Oreochromis niloticus: one gene and its partner. The protein of the gene in region 1 interacts with the protein of each later gene in a pairwise test. Links are inferred from orthologs where the notes say so. Each region holds a gene or a part of one and is shown in the gene's direction. Other genes may lie near its edges. The genes, in order: shtn1 and fabp3.

Evidence for each region.
Region 2: the proteins of shtn1 (region 1) and fabp3 interact in binary tests that used the Homo sapiens proteins (3 or more experiments, as listed by UniProt). The two-hybrid records come from large-scale screens. The link is inferred for Oreochromis niloticus from reciprocal best matches to the Homo sapiens genes SHTN1 and FABP3.

Annotation. Positions count from the first base shown.
Region 1 is NC_031978.2:32,201,242-32,205,162, forward strand, and holds the start of shtn1 (shootin-1), read left to right. Parts: upstream 1-1,358; 5' UTR 1,359-1,395; intron 1,396-1,841; exon of another isoform or gene 1,842-1,891; intron 1,892-1,975; exon of another isoform or gene 1,976-1,999; 5' UTR 2,000-2,094; coding exon 2,095-2,149; intron 2,150-3,921. UniProt on the Homo sapiens protein: Involved in the generation of internal asymmetric signals required for neuronal polarization and neurite outgrowth.
Region 2 is NC_031985.2:22,348,786-22,352,706, forward strand, and holds the start of fabp3 (fatty acid-binding protein, heart), read left to right. Parts: upstream 1-1,112; 5' UTR 1,113-1,225; coding exon 1,226-1,298; intron 1,299-2,704; coding exon 2,705-2,877; intron 2,878-3,503; coding exon 3,504-3,605; intron 3,606-3,710; coding exon 3,711-3,764; 3' UTR 3,765-3,921. UniProt on the Homo sapiens protein: FABPs are thought to play a role in the intracellular transport of long-chain fatty acids and their acyl-CoA esters.

The DNA of each region.
Region 1 (3,921 bases):
ATGTCTCAGTAATAATATCCCCCCTTCTTTAGATTCACTGTAGTGTGTTCGTGTATGAAAAGTGTCTGAGTAAAGAGTAAGCGTATCCTAATCAGTCCTTATTTATTGTGCTGTCATATATCGAGATATCTTCTTTTTCAAATAAAGCCCAACGAAAGCAAAGCAACAGGTTTCCTGTAGAGACCCATGATGATACCACCATGTTCTAAGAAATCCCTTAAATTACAATCATCTTTATGACTGATATTAGCACAGATTTAATATCATAATTTAGTAACTGTACGGAAACAAACGTTCAGGTGCTGGAGTTTGTTTTAAGAGCGGTCAGTCCTCTTTACTCTCCGTGTTACGTGGACCTGGATGCGTTCTTGTCTCTGGACCTTCTTGCTTCTTCTCTGCATTTACATTTTTGTGGTGTTTTGATTTGTCTTGCAAAAACATGAGTGAGTGTATTTTAAAGAAATCACATCTGTCTGCAGAAACAGTTTATTGTGCAACCATGGTTCTGTGAGTTTACATTAAATTATATGACATATGAAATTATATGTTGTGTGTCCTGGATCATTGTCCCCTCCTGCCAACATCTGAGCTAATATATCTGTTACTGGCTGTAACAAAAGTATAAATATGTAACTACAAGGCTGCTGCATACTTTCTTTGTTAGAGCTGTGAACTGTAAATCAGCTCTCCTAGTTTCTGCTGAGACACCCAGTGTCCTCTCTCACTGCCTTCATCAGCTGTTAGCTAGCATCAGATGAGCCAGTGTGACAGTTAAGCTAACATCATCCTGATACAGGTCACAATGTGCTGCACACAAGAAGAGCCAGAGATAAATGAAGGCTTTCTGTTTAATGTTGGTCTGGTTTATATTTAATTCTTACAGAATGTGTTTGAATAGAAAATTAATATGCAAAGAAAAGAACCAAGCAGCTGTGTGAGGTCACTCTATGATAGTCGAAGCCACGGTTCATTTATTGTGACTGAAGTGAATAAAAAAGTGGACTAAACGGGCAGCATCGTTATTCTGTTGCATGTGTTTGTTTACTTCTGCTGTTGATATTTCTGTGTTTAATGTTGATGTCCGCGTGCCAGAATATTTATGAGCCGGGCTGAAATCGGTCACCGAGTATTATTATTATTATCATCATTATTATTATTATTATATTTGTTGTTTTTTGTTCTTTTTAATCATTTTGAGATTAAAGTGGAGATTCTGGTTGTTCGGAGACGAAGCTCCACGGTCAGTGAAGGTCGTGCTTCAGAGCCGGTTTTTATTACAAGGAAGGAAATGATTTCTGTTCTCGCACATAAACACAGTGAGGTGATAAACACAAGGATGTTCAAAAGGAGAGCTGCATCAGGTCACACGGAAACCCACACAACCGTTGTGCCAAGGTAGGGCTCTGTGGAAAGGACATTTCTATACAGACGAGCTTTTAAGTTCTGTTTTCATTGTTTTATATTATTATTCATATTTCTGGTTTTATTGAGGAGCACTTTGTGACTTTTATCTATGAAACGTGCTGTATAAATACATTTGAGTTACAATTAACTAGACGTGTGAGTATGACGTTTAGCGAAACAGTGAGAGATGAGCGCCGTTACGTTACCGACAGAAATGACACGTTTATCATTGTCACGTGGTGTCGGACGTTTTGCCTGATTATTTGTATCCTCTGTATCTTTACTGCATCTTTACTGTATAAAGAGCTAAGACCTCCAAAGCTGCAGGAGTAATAAGTCCTTGTAGGAAGTGTTTGGGAACTAAAAATCAAGAATGACAGATACAAGGTTACATCCTCGTACAATAAAGACGCCTGTTTCATGAAGCCATCTACACTAAGCTTGTTGTAAAGGGTGCAGCAGCCGTGCAGTTTGTCTTCAATCAGCTGTAATCCGCACACTTCGACTTTATTCTCAAAATAATCAATAATATTGTTCCTAATCCTAATGTGGCCCTTATGCTCACTCCTAGCGTCTCTTGTCTGTGCTATCTCAGCTGCACTCTTATCTCGTGCCGTGCGCCAGTGTCCACCTGGGCAGGTGTGTCTTGAAAGAACACTTCCTGTTGAACTTTGGACAAGGATTTTTGTCATGGCTGCGGAGGAACTCGACAGAATTAATGTTATTACAAACCTGTCGAATCAGGGTAAGTTTCTTTTCTGTTCCCTGCCCTGTAACAGTGTTTCCAGTAGTAACACTGCATTTTACTACAGTGACATCACAGCCCAGCAGTTGTAAGATCCTGAAGAGTGTCTTTAAGATTTACTGCTTGCCTAGTGTCGAGGGCTGGATTATCACATAGCTGCTTATTTGCCTTCTCTAAGGGTTTTGTTTCTATGGCCAAAGGTGTGTACAGTAAGATGCTGCTTTAACTTGACGTAACAACTCTGCCAAAGTCTAACGTGGCCTGTGGATTAAACACCTAATCTTAAAGCAAGCCTGTGGTGAAAAAAGAGGTTGGACCCCTCATGTTATACTACGTAGAGCATACTTTGGTTGTGACAGCAAGAGAAGGACACATGTTAGGCAGGATAATCCATTTAGATGACCTCCTTTTGGGTTTTGCGCACGCTTGCTCACTGTCGTGGCTCACTGGGCTACTTGATGAAACTTAAAATGGGTCCCAGTGGGAGAAACGTTTCGTCACTCATCCAAGTGACTGTTTCAGTCACTAAATGCAGGTTTACCCAACATTATAAACAGTTTGTATAATGAATGAACAATGGGCTGGGAGGTTATTGATCAGTAATCTGCACTTTGTCATGAACACTGACCAACGGCCATGAGTCCCATTCACAGAGAGTTGGGGAATGGCTGCAATCACAGCATTGTAAGATGGTGACAGATGTACCCTTAGGCCCCCTCCTCCATTCAGAGATGGTCTTTCCCTTTTCACGTAAATGGCCTCCTTGACTCCGCCCTCAAACCAGCGTTCTTCCCTGTCCAGGATATGTACATCCTCATCATTGAAAGAGTGTCCAATGGCCTGTAGGTGTAAATAGACTGCAGAGTCCTGGCCTGATGAGGTAGCTCTTCTGTGTTGTGCCATCCGCTTCGCCAGAGGTTGTTTGGTTTCCCCGATGTATAAATCCTGGCACTTAACAGCGTACACTATGTTACTCTGTTTGTGTCGGGGGACCCGATCCTTGGGGTGGACCAGTTTTTGGTGCAGCGTGTTTTGGGGTTTAAAAGCCACAGAGACTCGGCGATACTCCTGACACGTACAGGATCACTACAGGTTTTCGCCTGGGCAGCGGTTGTCCTTCTCTCCTGGATCGGCTGGAGCTTTCTTTGGGAGCTTTCTCTGCTTTGACAAAAGTCCAGCTGGGATAACCACATTTACTCAGGGCCTTCCTGATGTGCTGTTCTTCTGCTTCGCTGGCCGCTGTGTCTGTGGGGATGGTGTTCACTCTGTGTTGTGTTGTAATCTGCAGTCAGCTCTGACTCAGCTCTGATGCTATCTAATTATGTAACATATGTGGAGAATGACTCTAGACAGGCTCAGCTGGCAGTTGGACGTGCTGCTTTGTTAGCCCGGAGATCATCGAGATGTCAGAATCAGAACACTTTCCCAGAGCAAACACGATAAGAACTAACTAAACTAAATAAAAATAAATATATTACAAAGTTACAAAATAGAACTAATAGCTCTAATTATAAATATGCCAGTACAATACACAAAGTGAAATGTATAAAGTTGACATTGAGGTGCCCCTCATATTATATTGGCTTACAGTTTGTGATATTAAGGGTGTGTAATCATTACAGTGTGTACTTGTGCTTTAAATGGAGGAACTGTACAGAGAGAGATTCACAGGCAGGAGTGATTTCCTGTGTCTGTGAGTGGTGCGTTTGGGTAATCTCAGTCTTTCACTGAACGTGCTCCTGTGACGACAGCACACGATGGAGTGGGTGGAG
Region 2 (3,921 bases), on another chromosome or scaffold:
AAGAAAAAATAAATAATGACACTGGAAAGCTGGTCTTTGATCCACCCATTCCTGGGACATTTGAGACTTCCCTGGTGGAGGCACAGTCTGCTCGACAGCTAACAGCTGCAGGAGAGAGAAATCATGTAAATGTATTTGCTCGGTTGAAAATCACCCAGCGATAGTGTTCTAGGGTTAATACAGATCAATTCAATAGCGACAAATCACAGGAACAATCACCTGAAGGCGCTTTGTATTGCGGGTCGTTTGAAACTGTAATCAAACAACCCTATGAGCAAGCACTTTGTCAACAGTGGGAAGGAAAAACTACCTTTTAACAGGAAGAAACCTCTGGCAGAACCAGGAAGGGGCAGCAATCTGTGACCAGTTGGAGGTGAACATGTTTTGTATCTGTGTCTACAAAACAAGCACTATAGTAACACACCAGCACTGTTATCTTCACAGTCATAACTGCAACACACGTCTGCCAGCATTCGCAAACCTGTATCTGTGTTTACAAGCACTCTCACAAACACACATACACATTTGGTTACACTTTTCACACTTTGGTGAGCCACAATCAGGGTCATTAAAATAACCGGCAAACCACACAGTGCAGGTGGATGGAAACCCCCCAGGTGGAGGGACCAGAGATGACGAGAACAACTGGGGAGTAAAAGAAGGGCAGAGAAAACACATTTACAACCAACAGCTGCAAAAAAAAAAGAAAAAAAAAGACTCAATGGTGGGCCTCTTTTCCCTCAGGCTCACCGCCTCGTACTCCTCCACCTCCTCCCCATTAATTTCTCCACTCTGCCCTTTCTCCCTCTTCTTTGATTTCTCTACTAAAGCCCTCTCTGATCCTCCTTCTCTTTCTCCGATGCTTTATTAAGGCTGATAATACGCACAGAAAGCAGATGCAAACAAACCTTTCAAGCAATTCAAACACAATTTATTTGCATGGCAATCACTTTGACAAAACCAAGGCTATCACATGTTCTCTCTTTGCACCCCCCCTACCCCCCTCGCGTCCGGCAGTCTGTGGGTGACACAGAGTGATGACATCACGAACAGCCGGTACATTCAGCCAGTAAGATCACAGCAAAGCTGGTGGCGCTTACATTACTCTCCCTGCCTCTTTCCCTCGTCTCTCATTCTGACGCTCCCCTGCTTTGCCGCCTCTCTCTCTCCCTCACACACACACCGTCTCTCTCTCTCGCCCTCATTCCTCCGCACCGCTGCAGACATGGTCGATGTTTTCGTTGGCACATGGCTCCTCAAGGAGAGCGATAAATTTGATGAGTACATGAAAGAGCTGGGTAAGTGTTCCGTGTATTTCTATTTCTTTCTTCTTCTGTTTTTTTTAATGCATGCACATTGCGCAGGGGAGTGTGTGCGCATGCGTGTGAAACAGGAGAGGATGCAGCAGTAGTGCCAGTGCTGCATGCGAGCGCATGTGGAGACGGGTTTGAGGCGAGATAAATGGTGTAAGGTGTGTTTCATATGTAAACTGTTTTAAGTAGCTGTTGATACAGGGTGTGGGAAAAAAAAATGGGCAATGATGGGAGCAAATAAGGGAGGCTTCAAATGGAGAAATAAAGGGGTAGGCTGTAGAGTAAAGGGTGGAGCGAGGCATTGGTTGGGAACAGAAAGAAAGCAGGAGAAGATGGGAATCAGAGGGAGGGAGAAAAAGAGGAAGCATGGCTGACCGCATGGCCCAAGTGCTGGAAAGGAGGGAGGGCCCCCCCCCTTTTTCTTTTTTGAGTGAAGAAAAGAAAAATCAGCCCCACTGTGGGAATCTCTGAATGGCATTCATACACACAGACACACACAGTGTAGTATAATGTGGGTGACCTTCGCTGAAAGCTGTTCATTGTGTGAGGTCATGGGAGGAGCTGAATATCAAGCTGGAACGAGGAGCTGATGGGACGGGAACATGGAGTTATAGTTTGGCTCCGGAACACCTCGCACACACATGGCTGTGGAGCGTGGGATGGAGGCAGGTGGATGGAGTTTGTTTTACAGCTGTATAGAGTCATATCACCATCGACCTATTTCCTCTGGTCACGGTGACAAGCAGACGCCCTTTAACCTCTAACCCCAGTCCTTTTAATCGATGAGGCATCTACACACACACACGTGCTATGGGAATGTCACTGCTGTAAATGAATTGGGATGTTAACTTCAAACAGAAACAGATTATTTCTGTTTGAGAAACAAATGGTGTGAATCACGTTTACCCAAAGAAACAAATTCACTCAATCCCTCATACACACACAAACGCACACCAGGAAAGCAGGTAATAATTTGCACACACACACAGGCCCAGACAGGCACTCTCCCAGGTCGGAGGGACTCTGCAGTGTTTGAAGAACGTGCAGCACGCTTAAGTGGCTGATAAAAGAGAGATTAGAGGGCATGTCAGATGAAGGGCAGCCGGGGGGCAAACCAACGGCTTTTGCTCTGGATGTGCAACAACATATTCCTTTCGGTATCTGTAAACGCTCCCAGGATGTTTCCTTTAAGTCGGGTTAGAATATCTCAACATCTGCTTGATACACTGACACAAACTTTGCCCCTATGTGACAGGATCAATGCCAGCGGCAAAGAAACAGGTTGAGTCTCTGCCTCACCTTTCGACTTGTTTATTTTCCACATGAATAATCCTCCCTCAGCACACCTCACCTGACTTACCTGGTTGTTTGAAATTTGTGTTGTTACACAGGCGTGGGCTTCGCTACACGGAAAGTGGCCAACCTCACCAAGCCCACCACCATCATCTCAGTGGACGGCGACACGGTGACGCTGAAGACCCAGAGTACCATTAAAAACACAGAGCTCAGCTTCAAGCTGGGAGAGGAGTTCGACGAGACCACCGCCGACGACAGGAAGGTTAAGGTGAGAGGTCAAAGGTCCAACTTGTGCAATGCAAAACCTTTTATTTAGACTTTTATGAAAGAGGTTTTAAGCAGGCTTCGTATGAGGTAAGCAGCAGTCTGCTGGAACATCGCTGCATAAATAAATATGGTGTCATAATTACAGTGCACAGGCTGATGGATCGCTGAGGAAACAGTCGTGATAGGATGACATAAAGCTTTAGGAAAGAGATAAAGTTGAGTGCGCGGTAGTGTTTAAAGGGAACATTTCAGGGGACAGGAGCAAGGAGCATTCACTTAAACTACATATATACCGCAGAGTGTTTGCTGATGGCAAGAAGCTGTGGCTATTGCTCACATTCAGACTGATATTGCTGTGGGCTGTTGCACGAGCACATGAATTACCCAACAAGTCATTGACGTCCTCTATGATTGCACAGTTCCTGTGCGTTGCGTTCTTTAATATGTAACTTTAGGTATTTTTTTACAAGCTTGCCATGAGATGGGAAAAGTGCAGTAGCTGCCTATAAAGATGTCTGTGCAAAGGTGAAGTGCACGGATGAAATAACAGAAAGCCGAACCACTGATTTAAATGATCCTCACTCACTCGCTGGATGTGTGTCTGACTCTCGTTTCTGCCCCCGCCAGTCTATTGTCACGATAGAGGACGGGAAGCTGGTGCACATTCAGCGGTGGGACGGCAAGGAGACCAGTCTGGTCAGGGAAGTCAACGGCAACGTTCTCTTGCTGGTCAGTAACCCCCCCCCTCCAAAAAAAAAAAGAATAATTCAAATTCAAATTTAACTTCTGTATGTATGTGCATGTAACTTCTCTTCTCTCTCTCTCTTCAAACAGACACTCAAACTCGGAGAGGTTGTTTGCACGCGTCGCTACGAGAAGGCAGAGTAAAGAAAGAAAAATCCCACAACATTTCAGCGGCTACCTGCATCAACTAAAATCCCGCATCCCAGACTCCTTAACACTTCTTCAAAACAGGCCAAAAAAAACCCCCAACGCCACCTCCTCATATGGCTGCTATCGACCCCCGTCATTGTCCCTTTTAATA